Linked DNA regions of Astyanax mexicanus. The protein of the gene in region 1 interacts with the protein of each later gene in a biochemical or structural test. Links are inferred from orthologs where the notes say so. Each region holds a gene or a part of one and is shown in the gene's direction. Other genes may lie near its edges.

The links. The genes of interacting proteins can lie anywhere in the genome.
Region 2: the proteins of lrrk2 (region 1) and pak6b form a complex in vitro, tested with the Homo sapiens proteins (2 studies listed by BioGRID). The link is inferred for Astyanax mexicanus from reciprocal best matches to the Homo sapiens genes LRRK2 and PAK6.

What each region holds. Positions count from the first base shown.
Region 1 is NC_064409.1:58,635,499-58,646,022, reverse strand, and holds the start of lrrk2 (leucine-rich repeat serine/threonine-protein kinase 2), read left to right. Parts: upstream 1-6,048; 5' UTR 6,049-6,325; coding exon 6,326-6,464; intron 6,465-6,722; coding exon 6,723-6,805; intron 6,806-7,742; coding exon 7,743-7,852; intron 7,853-8,472; coding exon 8,473-8,561; intron 8,562-10,524. Other genes in the region: slc2a13b (solute carrier family 2 member 13b), read right to left, coding at 338-446, 1,186-1,391, 2,452-2,611, 3,339-3,846. UniProt on the Homo sapiens protein: Serine/threonine-protein kinase which phosphorylates a broad range of proteins involved in multiple processes such as neuronal plasticity, innate immunity, autophagy, and vesicle trafficking.
Region 2 is NC_064408.1:74,340,477-74,351,203, reverse strand, and holds the start of pak6b (serine/threonine-protein kinase PAK 6b), read left to right. Parts: upstream 1-5,828; 5' UTR 5,829-5,958; coding exon 5,959-6,237; intron 6,238-10,727. UniProt on the Homo sapiens protein: Serine/threonine protein kinase that plays a role in the regulation of gene transcription. The kinase activity is induced by various effectors including AR or MAP2K6/MAPKK6.

The sequences.
Region 1 (10,524 bases):
TCAAGGGTTTTAGGTGTGCCGTATAATCCAAAAGATTATACCTTGAGGAGATCATTGCTGAGAGAGCAAATAAAGCAAAGTATGTTTAAAGCATGTGAACATATTTGCGTTTCCACAGTGTACACAATACGATTATTTTTTTAAACAAGAAAAAAGGCCCGGCCCATTTTTAGAGCAACATAAAAACTATCTACTGAAGACAAGGTGCCCATGCTTACTTCAGTAACATTTTCACTGTAGCAAACTATTTCGTGTTGAGTTAAAACACAGAGCACTCATTGTCTTCTGTAGACTGTCCACCCACATGAGCAGTGTGTTCAGTCAATGAGTGTCTTACATTACAGTGTTAATCCCTGAAAGCTGCTGGAACATCTGAAGGCCACAGCCCACGACGAGAGCTCTCCGGGCAGGTGCAGAAGTCAGGATACGCCACAGGACCAGACCCCCTGTCAAACAGCCAATAAATGTCATGGCATCATTAAAGTTATCTGTATATAATTTCCAAAAATAAGCAGGTATTTTCTCATGTGTATAGGATTAACACTTTTTTACACATTCTAGTAAACTTGCGGCATTTATTGGAATCATAGTTTAAGGTTAATGTGCTTCAATGTATATTTAATTTGGTCTGGTTAATTTTGTTTTCACACTACAGTTTAGAAAATACAAAAAAAAGTATCATGTCCCAAACACCTACAAGAGCTACATCTACCTATACCGGAAAATGAATGGTTTGTAGAATGTTGTTAGTTTTGTGTGTTGCTTTTTCAGGGGCTGTACCTTATCAAATCTCCCTGTCTGAATTAATTTTTCTTTGTGTGTATCTGCATCATACATCAGAATGAGTGCAACAGAATACATCTTTGTTTTCTGTTCATAAATAAGGATAATCTACAGTTACAGCAGATACAGAAGTCACAAGCATAATCATTTGCGCTTATACTGCTGTGTGACATATGTAAAGGGAGCCACAACATTGATTTTGTTTTATCCTCTATTGTAGAATGGGTGATGACAGCCTGGCTTAACACCTTGTAACTGGTCAAAAAGTTAAAACCATCTAAAAAGCGTTTTCTTAAACTGCAAACAAATTGTTTTAGACAGGCTGTTTTAGTCCAGAGCAAGTTAGGTATGAAAGCACTCTCTATCTGAATCCAAAACCTTGCCAAACAGCAGTTGGCTCACCTCCAGACTCTTTTTCCTCTTCTTCGATGATGTTCTTGATGTTGTTGAACTCCTCATCCACATTCTCCGTGGCCCTGATGTGTGTGAGCACCTCACGGGCCTGCTGAGACCGACCCTTCTGCAGGAGCCAGCGAGGACTCTCAGGCAGGAAGAGGAAGCCTATGAACTGCAGCACAGCAGGGACTGCTGATAAACCCAGCATATACCTACAGAAACCCCCAATAAAATGTACACAATCATATCATAGGTCAGAAATGTCATGATCTTTCCTTTTTTATTTGTTTTTGTTGTGTTATTTCCTCACATTTTAAATGTAATACATTTACAATGTAATCTTACTGTTCCAGCTAACATGCTGCTATGTTGTTCACATGTGTAGAACAATGGCTAGGCGAGATCCATGTGGCTCTGAGTGGGTTTGTAAATGTGTTGTTACTGGGACCGGGTTGGGCTTCCTAAATGGGCCCCATAATGACAGTCTGCCTAAGTCTCATGTGGATCCTATCTAGGCCCCATATGCAGTGTACAACCCAGATGGGGCACATGTTTATTCTTTCTCCATCTTTGTTCTGATGTAGCCCATTACTGACATACATACAGCTCTTGAAAAAAAATAAGAGACCACTTCAGTTTCTCTGATTTTTATATTTATAGGTACACGTTTTTAGTAAAATGAAGATTGTTGTTTTATTCTATAAACTACAGACAAAATTTCTCCCAAATATCAAAAAAAGAATATCGTCATTTAGAGCATTTATTTGCAGAAAATGAGAAATGGCTGAAAAAACTAAAAAGATGCAGAGCTTTCAGACCTCAAATAATGCAAAGAAAACAAGTTCATATTGATAAAGTTTTAGAAGTTCAGAAATCAATATTTGGTGGAATAACCCTGGTTTTTAATCACAAAATTTTATGCATCTTGGCATGTTCTTCTCCACCAGTCTTACACAATGATTTGGATAACTTTATGCCATTCCTGGTGCAAAAATTCAAGCAGTTAAGCTTGGTTTGTGATCCATCCATCTTGCTCTTGATTACATTCCAAAGGTTTTCAGTTTGGTAAAATCAAAGAAACTCATAATTTTTAAGTGGTCTCTTATTTTTTCCAGAGCTGTATGTGAAAAAAACTTTCTAGTTCCCACTTTGGCTACTCATATAAGCATGTTTACTACATTGTTAACAAGGGTGTAATTAATCTATTTTTTATATAAATCAAAACAGCAAAACAAATGAAAAAAATATATATAAGCCTACTCATGTACATACCTCCATCCTCCATGGCTCAAGTAACTGAAAGCCCCATCCACCACACTGGCTATAAACTGACCGCCGGTGATAAAGAGGGTGTTTATGGTGACAAGTTGACCTCTGAGGTGAGAAGGAGAGACCTCAGCAATGTACACAGGCACTGTCATAGAAGCTATACCTGTGGAAATAAAACAGTATATACTTTTAAACTGAATTTTAAGACAGTAGGTCTACATAAATAAATTAAATGTCTACTACATCAATCTCCAAAAGAATCCAGGCTTCTAAATAGTAAAAATGACTTGCACAGGAATTCACTGCTTTTAGATTTAGATGTTCTAGAGAAACATAAATTGTGACAATGCCCAATACCAAGAATGGGCTAAAAGAGCATAATGCCCATCAGAATTGGTGTACAGAGCAGTGAAGCTGTGTTCTCTGCAGTGAACAGGAAAATAAAGGTGGAACTTTTAATCCAGAAATAATAATTGTATACCAATAACAGTAATAACAGTTATGTTCTTGTGGCAGAATGCAATCGAATTTGCACATGTTGAGACCCAACATGTGACGTAAACCTGTCCAACCTGTGCTGCATAACACTGATGGGGATTTGTCCTTTAGGCTCTTTTGTCACGCACCACAGATCAGCTGCTCACCATCCAGCCTCCAGCTTCTGCCATCTACCTTCAGTTAATTTTTTTTTTGCCACCATCACCACTTTTTTACTTCTTGTAACTGGTCAGAAAGTACAAACCAACTAAAAAGTCCTTTCAAACTGCAAAAAAATGGATCGTATTATTCATTTAAGACCAGCTGTTTTAGTCCAGAGCAAGGTAGGGATGAAAGTACTTTCTATAAACCACGTCTATATATATATATTGTGTTATTTATCTGGGACTTACCTATGCCAAGCCCAACGATGAGTCGCCCAACAAGAAGGACCTCTTTATTGGGTGACAGACTCAGAACCACGCCCCCGACTGAGAAGATGAAGCTGGCCAGCAGAATGCACAGTCTACGCCCCAGCGCTCCGTTCAGAAAACCCCCAGCCAGGGCCGCGACCGCCGCCGCCCCCACCGTGCTGGAGACCAGCAGCTCCTGCCACAGTGCGCTCAGCTTCAGCTCCTTCTTCAGCAGCAGCATGGCTCCAGACACCACCCCGGTGTCGTAGCCGAACAGGAATCCTCCCAGCGCCGAGAAGAAGGCCAGGAGGTAGACGAACCTGGCGGAGCCATCAGAACCTCCCCCAGCAGCAGCAGCAGCAGAGTTAGAGGGTCGGGTGTTGATGGACGGAGCGGTGATCAGACTGCGCTCTTCCTCCATCCCCCTCCCAGCGCTCATCACCTCCTCCTCCATGATCCACAGCTCCACACCACCATCCTCCTCCAAATCACAGAGAAGCACAGACATCCATTTAAAACAAGCACCCAGCGAGCCGACAACGCGAGACCGCGAGGTGAGGAAGTGTGCACAGATTAAAACTCTAAACCCCACTAAACTCCAGAGACACTGACATACAGACTGAAATTCAGCAGCTTATACAAAACGTAAACATCGAAACGTGGAGCACAACTCAACATGCGCACTACTCTCTCGCCACGCAGTGGGGGCGTGGTCACGAGTATGACGCCAATTAATGGGCGTGTAAAGACAGGAATGCTGATTTTCACATTAAAAAAAAAATCAAACACTCAAATTAAAATCTACGTAGCATGACTGAAACCCTTTCCCACACATACCCCAGTTTTAAAAAAAATCCTAATAGTCACTCGAATTAGCTTCTTCCTGAGTCTTTTCAACTCTTTCAGACACTGCATCCATTACAATGGACATAATATATTTGCTTTCATTTTTAAATGTTTTGTTGCACATAACATTAATTGAGAGATGCTTTTCATCAGAACAGACAAGAAACCAGCCAATGATCAAGTTTATAAAGCAACGAAACAGTAACTTGGACCCATCCACAGCAAAAACACTGGAAAAAAAAACTGTTTAGGGATGGTTTATGAAATAAAAAGATCAATAAGAATAAAAAAATATTACAAACAATGAAAATGAAATGTAAATAAAAAATAATAATTTATAATTTATTAAATATTTTAGTTAATTTAATTTATTTGCTTTATAGATTTTATAGTAGAATATTAGAGTCTTCTTTTCTGTGCATTACAGACAAAAAAACAGTATTCTTTCAGTTTTCCATCACTGGAAATTAAGGTCTGAAAGGTTTAAAATACAGGCGATCTGTGTGGAAGATCTACTGTACAGCTTTGTTAGGATAGTGTAACTTAATTTTAATATATTGATGTGAAAACACATCTAGTCCTAGCCTTAGGAAATTAGATTAAATGTAATTTACCAAATCTATGGTTGGTTGATAAAAGTAAAAAAATATATATATTTTTATAAAACCTTACATTGATTGCGATACATGATTGCAGACAAAATTTAGCACAGATCTTCCAAACTGACAACATTGAATTATGCTCTCTTTAGTTACATTTTAAAACAACAAATTGTGGAGTCACATATACAACTCGCTCCAACAGGCTTGTGTTAACTACACTGCAAAAAGTAGTTTTAAGGTTACAATTAAATAAACTGAATAAATATTTAATAAATCAAATAAATATTTGTCTTAATCATTATTTAATTCAGAGTATCTATTTGAGCTGAATAAGTCCAATTCAGTTGCTTGATACTGCATCAAGTATTTTTCAGGTTTTCCCTTACTTAATATACGGTCATAATACAGTGTAATAGCGCCACGCCGTGGGGACGAGACCATAAATATGACGTCGAGCAATGGGTGTGGTCTGACATGGAATAGCTCAGTTTAAGAAATACGCGATAGGCTAAATTATTTTAGAAAACATACAAACAAATAGAAATAATATTATAAGATATATTTTCTTACATTAACTAATGGGCGTTCTGCAATTTTACATATTTTAATCTGTGTGACATTCTTAAAATAAACTTATTTTTGTCGTTTTGAAAGACACATTACATTTCTGGACAAATAAATCTCAAAGGTTTGGTTTCTGTGTTCAGAAAACACAAGCCCGAAACCAGCGTGTTCTGCCGAGTTACGCTACCCATCAGTTTGTGCTACTTGGCTGCATTGCGCATGCGCGGACTCAAGTTTAGTATGTTTCGTGTGATTTTTAAAAAAATCATAATTCTGTTTTCTGGGGTGCATTATAGCTGCGTTATACAGTATTTCTGACGTGGTGCTTTTAGCCTATCGAAATAGCAAATCTCCTGTTTAGTTAAGCTAGCTTTACGTCCAAATATACTCTGTGGTAGCACGATTTGCGGAGTAAGCACAACTCGTCAGGACACCGGCACAATTTTTTCAATAAAAAAAATACAACCTAAACAGCTGACTAGCTATAAACACCTATATTTATATTTAGCTGTTAGATTAACTCACCTCTCGCAGTAAATCTTCTATTAGTTACAGGTCTTGGTGTTGGAGGAGTAGTCTGTGCAGTTCCCCCTCTTGCTCCTGCTGCTGAAGCTTCTTCCTGTTTGAAAGTTGCTCCTCCAGTCATATGACTCACAGGTCGCTTATTACTGCGGCCAGTCCCGCCTGAGGACTACAGCCGAGGAGAGACCGCTAAAGAGACGGGCATGCTTTCCTCACACGGCGTGGAGCAGAAGGGGAACTAAGCATGTTTCCACTATTTCACAGAGTTAGAGAGTCCAGCGGCGGCGGTAGAGACGCTCAGTGAAGTTTCCTCACGTGTCTGGTGTTGGAGAAAAGCGGGCTGTGCTGCGCAGTGGTGGCGCTCGCTGTATTTACACTGTGTTTAATGTGCCAGTGGAAAGGTTTTACACATGTGTTTAGTGCCAGCCGAGGGCCAGCACTGTAACCAGCACCATGGTGAACAAACAGGACCTGGAGGAAAGCGTGAAGAAGCTGTTAGTGAGGCTGAAGAACCTGGAGGAGGGCAAGCAGCTGGGCACCATGGTCCAGATCATGCAGGACCTGCTGTTCCTCGCTCACACAGAGGAATATGGTAAGATCATTAGCCAGCTAGCAAGCTATGGCCAGTGTAAATAAACATGCATGCTGGGGATTTAGCTAGTTTAGCTAGGTCATTTGTGTTGGAGTGTAGTCTATTAACTGGTCAATTCTCTCTGAGTGTTGTTATTGTTGCAGCAGGCTGTAGTCAGTAGTCAGTACACACACAGGCTGGGCTATATTTGAATGAGCTTCTGTCACTTGGGGGGATATTTTTGGAAATGTAAGCCCCTCTCTCCCTTCTGGTGTTCAGCTGCAGAGCTATTTGAGGACAAAAATGTCCATGAGCCACTGATGCTGGTGTTATCAACCTACAGCAACAGCAAAGTTCAACAGGTAAGAATCACTTCTACACTGCATTACATAAAATAAACAAATATTTTGACACACATCTACCACATTTAGCTTTGAGGATCGATTTGCACACACTGGTATTTATATCTCAGAGATAGTCACCTGAAATACAGCTCTGACCAAAAATTAAGAGACCACTTCAGTTTCTAAATCAGTTTTTCTGATTTTGCTATTTGCAGGTATATATTTGAGTAAAACGAACGTTGTTGTTTCATTCTATAAACATTTCTCCCAGATTCAAAATAAACATATTGTAATTTAGAGCATTTATTTGCAGAAAATGAGAAATGGTCAAAATAACAAAAAACATGCACCTCAAATTATGCAAAATATTAAAGTCTTAATATTAATAACGTTTTAAGAGTTCAAAAATCAATATTTGGTGCAATAACCCTGGTTTTTAATCATAATTTTCATGCATCTTGGCATGTTCTACTCCACCAGTCTTACACACTGCTTTATGCCACTCCTGATGCAAAAATTCAAGCAGTTCACCTTGGTTTGATGGCTTGTGATCATCCATCTTCCTCCTGCTTATATTCCAGAGGTTTTTAATTTGGTAAAATCAAAGAAACTCATCATTTTAAGTGGTCTCTTATTTATTTTTTCAGAGCTGTAGTTTTTTCAGCGACTTGAAGGAGTTCCTGGAGGTGCTGAACAATAGTTGCTGCTTTTAATCCCAAATCACTCATCTCAGTTTGGTTTAGATCAGAGGATTGTGGAGACCAAAGACATTTAATTTTAAAGTCTTTAATATAAATCTACAATGTAGAAAATAAATAAAGAAAATAAATAAATAACGTAAAACATTGTATGAGAAAGTGTGCCCAAATGTTTGACTGATACTATATATATATATACTATGTCAGCCATATACATAAAGCAACGTATTGATGGACCCTTGCCTCCTTTAACGCAGGTGGGATGGTCTCTACTGTGTCGTCTGATGGAGATCTGCCCTGCCACTCTAGACAAGCTGGTCAGGCCGCTGGGAGCTGGGAGTAGCTGGGAAGTTTTAGGTGTCCACCAGTAAGTATGAAACTGGCTGTTTATTTGCAGTGCAGTGATGCTTGTAATATTAATAAACATATAAGCAGCAAAGAAAGAATGGGCTCAAAGTTAATCATCCTAATTTAAGGGTGTACAAACAGTATGATTATTCTAATTCTTGTTTGGATGGAGTACAGTCTAAGACATTGCAGTGTTAAGTACAGGACATTATTGAGATATCAGTTTTAAATAAGTATCTGCTGCTAGTGGTATATTTTGTCTACATGTCAGACTATTGCAAAAAATATTTTGTATTGTGAAAACGTCTTGTGATGTTGCATTGTGTTGTAACCTTATCCTCCCATATCTCCCACCCTATGCAAAGGTACAGTAGAGTGTCAATACATACCTGTCCCTAGATATTTATGACGGAGCCAGAAACATTTTAGGGAGTTGACTGATAAGAGCTGGGAAAGAAAAATAATATAACTGAAAGTGAAAGTAGCCTTATTTTAACTTCAGGTATGTAATGCCTGTCCATTGCCCCAGTAAGAAAGTCTGAAAAACAGGTTAAGCTGAAAAACAGTGTTTATGATATGCTCCCAGTGTGTTTCTGAATGCTGGCTTTTGTGTGTGTGTGTGCGCATTTGCAAATCCAGGCAAATTCTGAAGGTGCTGTTCGTGCATAATGAAGACTGTAAAGTGGTAATGATAGGACTGCGGGTTCTAGCCTTGCTGTTAAAGTCAGGTAAGCCTGTTCTAATCAGTCTGTTTTACTAATTGTTCACTTATTATTTTTTTTACACAGCATTTTTTAAATTTCCAGAGAAGACTGTTATGGACAGTGAAAATTGGGCCAATCACAGATTATAAGTGATGTTTATCTGGAGTCTGTTCCTCCTAGACTGTATGGACTCCCTATATGCTATTTATAGATGTGTGTTATATTATAGTGAAGATTTATGGCACTAAGGAGAGATATGCGGTTATTACTGCTGATCATGAGTGCGCAGCTGTACGGCCTCTTCTGTATTCAGTCTCAGTCTGGGTCATGCTGCACCATGCTGCACCAAGTTTGCTGTACCACTGCCCTACTTAATCAGGTTCAGCTGCTTGTCTTCTACAGCAAACACCCAGGCAGGCTACATTACTGTAAATCGGTACTTCCTTATGTAAGCTGCTTTTAATGCACTGCATTAACTTAATATCACACACAAAACAAATGAGTGTGTGATAGTAGACAGTGTGTTAGTATAATGAGTGCTGTGTGTAAGCCTAAACGTAATTCTGTTTCCATAATTAAAACTCCATTAACAGTCAACACATAACGTGGCAGTTTCAGGGCAGGGGTTTTAGATAGAACCAAATATGTAAGTGGTTATATTTGTGAATATGGTTCTCTGTAGAGCAAGCATGTTGGTTGTAAAAAGTGCCAAAAATCTTTTCACAATTGTTGTTGTTATGTCAAGGAACACTTTTGTCTTTAGTTCAACATTAACTTTTTAATCAGTATACATTTGATAGGCTCTTAATGAGATTCAAATCAAGTAAAATTGGTGCTTGAGCACCTGCCCGTTTGGGTCTTAGTGCCCTTACCCTCTTCAAAGTGCACCCCGCCCCTCACCCCATTTGAAATCTTGCGCCAGCACTACCCCCAAGATTTTCAGAATACTAATTTTTACTCAAAAAGTACCACACTTAATTGGAATAATCAGGGCTTGTCACTAGGGGTGGGTAATATTGCCCTAATATAATTTCACAATATTTCAGGTATTTTAATGATAAAGATACTATGAACATAATAAAACACTAAATTAAAACATATATATATTTGAGGAATACACTACTGCAACAAAATGAAAATTCAATTTAGGCAAACCGCTACCAGAGATCAAGAAAAAAAATCAAGAATTTTATCAGATTTGTAACAGAAGTCAGTGATACAGAATATCATGATGCTAATAATGCACTCAAATATCTTTATATATCCAGGATAAGTAAAATAAATGATACTGCACAGATATAATCTGTCTCTAGTAGATATATAATGGGAAATAAGAACAGTGTGAATTTGTCTTTTGCTAAAAACAAACTGATCATACTAGTCACATTGACTAGGTTATTTAATTATTCAATCATTTTGTTAGTAGTGTATTTCATTTATGTCAGTTAATTGTAGCAGTGGTGGTCAATTTTAGGGTCTGCAAAAGACAATCAGAAATATTTAGCACTTTCTCTCTCCTGATATTTTCATTTTCATTACCTTTCATTTTCATTACAATTACTTCTGTGTTGGGGAAGGAGCAATTTTAGTACTCATGTGAGGTAATTTATGAATTTCCCATAGCTGGTGCAGATACGAAACAAGGAGTTCCTGGGAGGGAATTAATTATGAAAAACTCCAACATATCGTAATACATAACAGTATGAAACATAGATTATATTGTAGGTGTGGTTCTCTCTGTGCTGCTGGTTTGAGCACAGGGATGACTGAACTCTCAGACTGTGTTTACCTCTGTTGTTCTTGCTAGTATCTGGATTGTATCTTGATGAGATGTTAACATCACGCATTTACAGCTGGTTGTCAAATTCATTTCTGTCAGTCAGATTGAAATTGAACTGTGAATACTGTGTGGAACAGAAAATGCCAATTTGCTAGTTGTACAGCAGTTATTTGTTATAATTGGTGTTTCTGTTGTGTTTTAAATGTA
Region 2 (10,727 bases), on another chromosome or scaffold:
AACTCTTTGTTGGTCTTGGGGCATCTTAATTTGGCTACGTCAAGATGTTTCCTATGTTGACTCCGCTTTTGCGCTTTCCTTAATTTCAGCTTGATGATGGCTGTTAAAAGGTAGTGGTCACTGTTCACATCGGCTCTACGGTAAACTCGAACATCTTGAAGAGATCTGCGCCACTTTCCGTTCATCAGGATGTGATCGATCTGGTTGATGGTGGAACCATCAGGTGACTTCCATGTGAGTTTGTGGATAGTTTTGTGTGGAAAGATGGTGCCACCAATGACGTAGTTATTGGTCATGCAGAAGTCAACAAGTCGCTCACCATTATCGTTCATCACACCGCACCCGTGCTTCCCCATGTCTCTCTCACAGTCTGTGTTATCAGCTCCCACTTTGGCATTGATGTCACCCATGATCACTAACATGTCATGTTGGGGAACTTTAAAGACTGTCTGCTGTAGCTTTTCATACCACTGGTCTTTTTCCTCCTCATTTGCTTCATTGGTTGATGCATAGCACTGAATGATGGTGAGCTTACAGTGCATGGAGTTGAAGCGCGCTCTGATCAGCCTGTCGCCGAGGGGTTCCCAGTCCAGCAGGGTGTTGACCTTCTCTTTTGAAACTATGAGTGCCACGCCGCGTGTGTGTTGATCGGGGTGCCCAGAGTGCAGGATAACTGTGCCATCGCTCCTCACCTGGCGTCCAGAGCCGGTCCATCGGCATTCACTTATTCCTAGGATGTCCAGCCTGTATCTTCTCATTTCACTCGTGACCTGAGCTGTTTTGGATGTGTCGAACATGGTACGGACATTCCATGCACCCAAGCGGATCGTGGTTTTGGGTCCCAGTAGACTAGCCATCGCGCTCCTGACTTCCTGTTGGAGGCTTTCATCAAGAACGGTCATAATGCCAATAGGTTGGCTGGGGTCTACTGTAAGATCCTTAATAGTATTGCATTTCGTAGAAGTTTCCGTAACGGTATTCTTTTTTACGTGGTGGGGTTGTTGGCCCCGCGCACAACCCCCAACCTGGAGGACCAGGTGCTGTTTTTTGTCTGGCCTCTACCTGGAGTACCTGCCCGACATGGTTGAACCTACTAGGGGCAGAGCCCCCGCCGGTATAGCTATCCGGGTCACAGAGACACGCAAGGTTCCCCACCACGACAAGGTAGCAGCACAAGGGGAACCGATAGGTTTCTTTAAATACTGTCTCTGCAAGCTATGGTTAGCTTTAAGCCTAGCACCTGCTATCTTTCCCCCATTTAATCTTACTAACTCATCAAATTATGCTGCTCTTTTATATACAGGCAAAGCTGTGGTAATGTCAGCTAACAGAGTCTGGAAATAAAGGAAATCCTGCTGAAAGATTGCAAGTGTCAACGGAGTGGTCACAGCTTTGACTAGTTTCAGCAGGAATTTATGAAGTTGGATTTGTGTAAATTTTGTTTAGTTTAAGTTTTTATTTCTTTTATTGTTAATGATTATGTCTTACAGCCAATGAAAACACAAAAGTTAGTGTCTTAGAAAATTAGAATATTATATAAGACCAATTGGTACTTTTGGCAGTTTGGGCAGTGTGCCAAGTCCTGCTGGAAAATGAAATTCGCATCTCCATAAAAGTTTTCAGCAGATGGAAGCATGAAGTGCTATAAGATTTTTCTGGGATGCACCTGTTTATGCTAGTACTAAAATGCCATGTCTGTATCTATTGGAGTTTTTTTTTTCTCCTACTTCCGCTTTTACTTCACTGTATATTTTGGATGAGTTTAATACTTTTACTCTGATACATTTTTATATGCTACATTGTTACTTATTACAATTATAAAAATGTTAAAATTTATTCCAAACTCACATTATCACTAAAGCCAGAGCAGTGAACTTTCCACTGCTTTCTGTTGTAACAACATAACTACACAATACTTATTCTTTTACATTCAGTACTTAAGTATTAATTTTAGAATAAACTAATTGCAATACTTGAATACAAAATTGTTGAATACTTTGGTACTTCGACTTAAGTGTGGAGCTTAAAGAACACTTCAACTTCTACTCAAGTCACTTTTTTTGATAGAGCAATTGTAGTTTTACTAAAGTCTGGGTCTCTAGTACTTTATACATGTCTGATTTTAAATAACAGCCAAACATAGACTCTAAATTAAGCCAGCACTTCTAAGGCTAAGGCTAGTGCTTCTAAGGCTACACATTTAAATAAAGTAAATAAATACATTAACAGAGTAGCACAGAACTTTACTTTACACCTCCCCTCTCTCAGTGGATGGAACAAAAGTGACAGGAATGATTTTTCTTGTGCAGTTAAATATAATGACTCACTTTTTTAAAGGTCATTTTCAGCATTCTCACATTGTGAGAAGATCTTCATAGATTGTTCATGAGTGATACACTGTGACCTTTTATCTCTGTGAAAATGTTCACATTTAGTGCATTGTACTATATGATGACCGTATGATTATATAGCTTGGTTCAAAAGAAATATAACTGCTGCTGTTTTTTTTCTTTTTCATTTCAACTACTTGAAAGCTGCTCACTGCAGCGACTAGTGGATCTTCTGATCAGCTAGTGGACAGGTCAATTAGTCTAGGCAACCCCCCAAATGTCATTATTTAAAGAACATTATGACTATCGAAGTGACTCTTAAACTTCTTTTCACACTGACTATGTGCACATCCTCTTCAACAAGGTCTTATTAAATCCTGCTGTTTGTGTGTGCTCCGCTCCACCACTCCCTTTAATTAAACACTGGAAAAGAGTGTGAGAGACAGAGATGAAGGAAAGTGTGCAGACATGCAGTTCCTCCCCTTACACATTTTTACTGTGTACTCTTATCTCCAGGTTGCGTTGAAATGGACATAAAGGCAGGATGATGGGTCTCATCACTGTAAGAGACGTCTACCGTTAGAATTTCAGCTGTGACCGAAATACACAGGTAAAGTGCTGTGACCTCATTCATTGTTTAAGCATTTACTGTATGGTGGTGACATGTGGCAACATGTATTTGCATTAATTTTGCATTTATATTCTGAATCTCCTTTGAAGTGGGTGTAGTTCAGTATTTTTTTAAAAACAAAAGTCTTTACATCTGTGGGAAGTTAATGTAAATTATAAGTTTTGATGTAATTCGTTTTACATAAAACTGTCAAATATAATATGTTTCCATATGGCAGGAGTGTGTGGTAATTGATCTATAATCTTCAGTGCACGTTGTGGGAGTAAATGTTTTCATCATTAAAATTATTTTTTTACAATTTCTGTATTCTCAAACAGTTGCAGATTTTTCCCTCTCCCTGTGATAAATGACATATTGCATTCTATTGGTCTCATCATATTAATTGCAGAATGTAGCGTATCTGTTTTCATTAAGTTAAAATGGATGTGGTTAGTCCTTCTAACATCTAGAAATTAACTGCATAGAAACTATATCTATTTTATACAGCTCTGGAAAAAAATAAGGGATCACACAAAAATGATGAGTTTCTTTAATTTTACTAAATTAAACATCTGTGGATTATAATCAAGAGGAAGATGGATGATCACAAGCCATCAAACCAAGCTGAAGTTCTCCAAAAGCAGTGTGTAAGACTGGTGGACGAGAACATTCCAAGGTGCCTAAAAACTGTGATTAAAAAACAGGGTTATTCCACCAAATATTGATTTCTGAACTTCTAAAACTTTATAATATGAACTTGTTTTCTTTGCATTGTTTGAGGTCTAAAAACTCTGCGTCTATTTTGTTATTTCAGCTATTTCTCATTTTCTGCAAATAAATGCTCTAAATGAAAATATTTTTATTTGAAATTTTATTTGAATGTTGTCCGTAGTTTTTAAAATAAAACAACAATGTTCATTTTGCTCAAACATATACCTATAAATAGCAAAATCAAAGAAACTGATTTAGAAACTGAAGTGGTCTTTAAATTTTTTCCCGTGTTGTATATATAATGTATGTTCTCTTTTTGCTGACTAATATCATTTTTGTATCAACTATTGTGATAAGCTATCACCTTCTGAACTGTAATAAACCCTTATCTTAATGTCAGCTCTATTGCAAATGTCTATTTCCCACTGTTTAATGTTCACTTGTGAGTAAATATTGATTGACCTAAATAAACACGGATGCAGCCTACAGACGTTAGTCATGTATGGACACAGTGTATCAACATGTTGTTCCAATGTCCCAATGCCAAATGATTCTCACTTTACTTTAGATGACGTTGCATTATTTACATATTCTTCGTACCACAAACACTTGCACTGGTATTCTGTGGTACAAAACTTCAAAATAGTTATAGTTATGTCTGATTTCTGTGGAAAGCTTTGGATGATGATACTATCAGAGTGTGAAATCAAAACCAAAACTTCAAAATCAAAACATGAACCTGTTTAACTACATGAAAACATTTGTATCCCTCTTTTGTAAAGCTTTGCAAATGCAGTAATGCAGTTGTACAAAGGCGAAGTATAGATAGAAGATAAAAGAGAGAGGATAAAATGAATTCTGTTTAGTAATTGGGCTTCAGTAGTAAATCACTGTGAATAAATGAACAGATAATTTGGACACAAATAGGTTGACAATACAACTGAGCTCAGTCTTGTGGTGGGTGATTGATTCCGCACTTCCACACAGAGGACAATGCCTGTGATTGTGGGCGTCCGTCTGTGGTCATGGCAGGTCTAATTGTTCCATCAGTGATAGACTGCTCCAGCATGAGGGAAATGAGGGCAGGCAACGTGTGCTTACTCGACCTGCTCTGTTCAATAAACACAGCCTCACTGAACTGATCAAATGTGCACTGATTCTTTAGCTGTAGAGCATCACAAGACCACACACTCATTCAGCCAGAACAGTTTTAGTGCTGGAGATGGTTAAAAGATGTGAATCTAGACAGATAGAAACATTGTACGTTATATTTGTTAGCTTAATTGACACCATTATTATGAATATTATGAAAATTTTGCCAATCTTACATTCATTCTTATTTTTTATATTTCTTACATTAAATTGATATCCACTATTAAAAATGTAACTATTAAGAAGAAAGAAGAAAAGTAATACATTGTAATTAATCACAGTATAATATATGTGATTAATCTGATTATTTTAGTTGTTGTACAACACAAATATTAATTTAATTTCTATTTGCATTATTACATTAATTATTTTTTATTTATTATTTACATTTAGATGTCTGCTATTAAAAGTGTAAGTCTTTAAAAGAAAAAAGTGTAAACAATAGTTATTAGTCACACAATATTGTTTGATTAATTTAATTATTTTAATCCTTGCATTCGTAATCATCTTGCCAGCAATACATTAATTCTTTTATGTTAATTTAAATATCCATTATTGCTAAGCCATAAAAAAATCAAAAAAAGTTTAATCAATCACAGATAATTATGTAATATTACTGTGTTGATTTTTATTATAAATAGTATTTGAATATAATTACCTAATACGTTTTTGTAAAAGTGTTTAAACACATTTGTGCTAGAAGATTATCCATTTAATTAGATTAGATGAATATATAGAGCTAGAGCTTGAATATATCACATATTTGCATTATTGTTCCTTGACTAATAGCTTTTAAGCAGTTGAGATCCCCAGGCTGTAATATATATTATGTTGAGGACGTGTCATTTATTGTGGGAAGAGAGCGTGCCTGATGATTATAGTGATAAGCTAAGTGCTCACTCAGATTCACAGTAGTTTTGTCTCTTTGCACATGAAAGGGGTGTGTCTTCTGCTGACTGTGTGGTGGTGGAATTCTCCCCACCCCCTAGAGTGTGTGTGTACTCAGATATACCTGAGTGGTGTGGTTTGTTTTGTGGTGTTCAGCCGACTGAAATCATCAGATTTTTTTCTCCTCCTTTGTTTTGAAAGGAAGTGCTGACTGTGTTGTTAGTCCTCAGGGGTTGTGGGATTTTACTGCGTTAAGGCCGTGTTCTCATGGCTTGGTTGGAGAAGATGAAGATGTCCCACCATAATACACTGCACTGCTGTTTCCCCCAGGCCCTCAGGATGTTCCAGAGGAAGAAGAAGAAGAGGAAGATAGAGATTTCTGCGCCCAAGAACTTTGAGCACCGGGTGCACACGTCTTTTGATCCTGCCAGAGGCTGCTACGTAGGACTTCCACCGCAATGGCAAAGTGTAATAGAAACACTGAGGAGACCCAAGCCTGTGGTGGATCCATCCAGGGTCACTCCTGTGCGACTCAAAGCAGAGAAGGTAAAGCAAAAAAAAAAAACAATATATATGTATGTATATACAGTACTAGTCAAAAGTTTGGACACATCTTTTCACCTTATTTAATGTGTTTTCTTTCTTTTTATGATTTTTACATTGTAGATATAATATTGAAGACTTTAAAGCTATACAGGAACACATGTATGTGGAATTAGTTGTGTGTTAAACAAACCAGAATATGTTTTATACTTTAGATTCTTTTAAGTGAAAGATCAGCACACTTTTTTCAGTGTCTTCATGAGAGAGAGTCATCTGGAATAGTTTTCTCAGCATCTTAAAGGAGTTCCTGGAGGTGCTGAACAATAGTTACTGCTTTTCCTTCACACTGTGAAGCTCCAGTTCATCCCAAATCACCTCAACTCACCATCTCATTTGGGTTTAGGTCAGGAGATTGTGAAGCCAAAAACATTTGTTTACTACATAATTCAGTATTTTAAATAAATTAAACATAGAAATAAAGAAAACATTAAATAAGAAGATGAGTCCAAACTTTTGTATGCTAGTACATATATGACTGGTAGTATATGTATTTTATTTCAAGAATACACTACTGCAACAAAATGAAAATTAAATTTTACTATTGCATATGATATTATTTGGCTCACCCCTGAGATATTAAAAAATACAAGAATTTTATTAGATTTGTAACAGAGGTCAGATTCAGATGATTCAGATTGTCATGATCACAGAATACTGTTGTGATTATTATAATTATGTAATTGACATTTGTGAAACTGTTTGCACAGGTTTGTGTTCGGAGATTGTCCATAAAGATCATTTGATTAAGTTAAATAATAGAATATATGTAAGCATGTCTCTTACCAAAATTATATTTGTAAAATTAAATGTGTCACACCTAATTAGCCATACCCATACATTTCTTCCAAAATCATATTTTTTTCTATAATAACAGCCTTTACTCTTTTAGGAAGACTTTACACTAGATGTTGTGAGGATTTGATTGCAGTCAGACAGAGGAACATTAGTGAGGTCAGGTACTGATGATTGGTGATTAGTTCTAGATCACAAACATCACCAAAGAGTTGAATAGAACTTCACAGCTCAATACAGGGGCTAGCTGACATTTTTCAACCTGGTGGTTTTGGGTTCATGTACAGCTGCTTTAGAGAGTCACATTCAATTCGTAATGGTGTTCTATGGAGATGAGTGTGTGTAGAGCACCTGTGTCAGCAATGGGTGCACCTTTAACTAGTTGTTTTTCCTAAATATATGGGATGGGGGATACTTTTGGACATGTGGTGTTAGTCTCAGAACAAAGTGTGGTAGGTGTTGTTATGCAACTTGGTCTGTCACCTCCTCTTCTGAGCTTTTCTGTGATTATCAGTCCTTTTGTAAGTAGTAATTATTTAACATATGTAACAAAATCCCTCATTCTGTGAAATACTTCAGAATTACATTTGAAGTGAATGGATATATTACACTTTACCTAGCTTATTGTATAGCAATTCTTCTGAGGATTTGCTGTAGCGTTGCTGTGATGATTTGATTGCATTTATTGACAAGCATGTTAGTGAAATCAGGATGTTGGTATGATCACACCCATGCTTATTACTGCCTTATCCCTAAAGTATTTGGATTGAAAACCATACTACTAGAGAACACAGCTCCACTGCTCCACAGCTCAATACAGCAGTGCTTTATTTTGTTTCTTTGCTCCAGACTACAGGGACTACTAATGTTGAGTGTGTGCATTTACACATCTGTGTGAGCAATAGGTCCAACTGAATGTATTTGTTGTGTCTATTTAGGGTGTCAACAAACATTTGTACATGTAGTACCTTAAACACTACCTTTGGAAACACTCACACAAAATCTTCACAATAGCCATGAGAAATGAACAATTAGGACTGAAAATGAATATGCAGAGTGAAGTCTTTTCTTAGACAGAATGAACAAGAGAACCTGAAGGACAAGTTCGCTTTCCTCCTTGCTTAAATGAAATCTGGTCTCAACACACACATAGCTGAAGTTCACTGGGAGATCAGATAGCATTGTTTTGACACATGGCCCAGACCTCTCTGTTATATTTCCTGAACAAGCTCATGCTTTCAGGTGTCAGCCTTGCAGTTAAAATCATTTAAAAACGAATTAATAAAAAGTAAAAAATATTCTAAATACAATTTAATTTTAAATCTAAAAAGAATAACTAGGGATAAAGTTTTTTTTGCCCGAGTATGAGTCATTTGTTTTTCAGTATCTGCTGATACCGAGTCCCGATCCGATACTTTGACAATACAGAAAAAAGAACACATCCAAGATAATATTTAATAATATTTGTTATTATTTGTATTGTATGTTTGTTATTGCGACAGTATAGTGTAATAATAGTGTAGTGTGGTTTAGGTCTGGCAGACTACAGCTTTGTTTGCTGTATATTAAATATTATGGTACCACTTTAAAATAAGACTACCTTTATAAAGGGTTTATAAATGGTTTACAATGAGTTTATTAATGGTTACTAATTAGGCTGTAAATGCCTTACAAATCATTAATAATCAGTTATAACACATACATAGAAAGGGCAACAATATAGATGGCTGTGGGTTCACTATTTGACAAACAACAGGTCATAGTCGCCCTTTCTACGTATGTGTTATAATTGATTATTAATGATTCTTAAGGCATTTACAACCTAATTAGTAACCATTAATAAACTAATTGTAAACCATTTATAAACCCTTTATAAAGGTAGTCTTATTTTAAAGTGGTTCCAATATTATATCTCCGGGTAGTTTTGATGCTTTTTAAATGAGAATATTTTAATGTCCCAAGTTAACTGAGTGAGTTTAATAGAGAAAATAAACGCTCCTGTAGCTTCATATAATGTGTGTCTGTGCATATATGCGTGTGTGTCCGAGTGTGTGTGAAAGACGGAGAAAGACTGAGAAAGAGCAGCTTAAAGTGTTGATGTGTTGATAGTTTGGAGGAAATGAAGGTGGATGGATGGATAACAAATCATATCAGTATCATTTTATTTCATTACTGTATTTATTTGGCTTGCGCTCATACTTTCTCAATGGTAATAAAGATAAATTCCTCCAAATCTGCTAATCCTTTATTTAATTCCATTATGAATCATCAGCATTGCAATAGGGATACAACCAAAAGCCCATTCTTGATAAACCTGTTTAATTACATGATGCCATAATATTTACACACCACACCCACTAGATATGAACATATGTTGGAATAATTAACTATTAAAATGTTTCTGTTGGTTCTGTTGGAGCTGTGTGTGTGTTTAGATTTCTTGTGGGTAAGTACAGTGGTCATAACCTACACACAGAACAAGATTTTGGATTGGCCATGTTACACATAAAATTGGCTTACATATTTCAAATATGTAAGCCAAACACCTCAGATCCCTCCTATCCGATACTTTGATTGGAGAGTGAAAAAAGACACACAAATCATCAAATTCATTGTTAGTACCTTAACAGGCCTTGTGGCTCGAATATGGGTGATGTAAGTGAACAAAACTCTTTTCCTATGCAGTATTTAAATTTAAATTGTTAAAATGTTGAGGGATTTGGAGACTCATACAGGACACTTACTTAATCATTTAAGATCAGTAATCAAAACTAAATTCTGCACGTTTGAAATGAGACACAAATCTAGATAACTGTAATGAAATTAAAGGTTTGGTGGATGGAAAATTTTTGATTTGTATTCAACAAACATTGATTTTAAATTTAAGTTCAGGAAAGCACCAATTTATTGTTTTTTATTCATAATATTTGCAGATTTACTTCAACATGTTCTATTACAGTTACAGTTAGGATTTTTAAGAACGTTTCCTATCAAATATGAAACCTTGAGAATTGGAATGAGGTAACAGGACCAGATTTACATCTTGAGTTTAGATTAAGGTTAGAATTAGGTTTGGATTGAGGTTAAAAATAGAACAAAGGTCAGAGTGATGGGTAGGATTAGGTCTTGGACTGAGGTTAGGTTAGGACTTCAGTCAGGATAATGATTAGGATTACGGTTAGGATTGGGAATGACGTTAAGGTTAGTGTTAGTTGGTTTTTGGTTAGTTGAAGTAGCATATTAGGTCTATTTCATGCAACATATCAATAGCAAATCTACTAAATGTAAGGCATGCATCAACATCACATGTTTACAATTTTACCTCAGTGCATTCAGATCTTTTACTGCTGCTGCTACTCTGATAATAGATAATGTGATATTCTGCTAACGGGTTATTAAACATTTTCAAAAGACCACTCAAAATAAAGTGTTACCAAAATTATTTAAATTACCTGCTTGTTACACATTCATCATTATAACATGATATTTTTGTCTGTTTCCCAACAGTCCTACAAGCTTTGATGCAGTATGTGTTATTTATGTGCATATTTACGTTGTGATGTATACAGTATGTTAAGTGAACATACTGTATAAATTAATGAATTATTTTAATCGTTTTAGTTTTCTGTGTTTTCACTCAG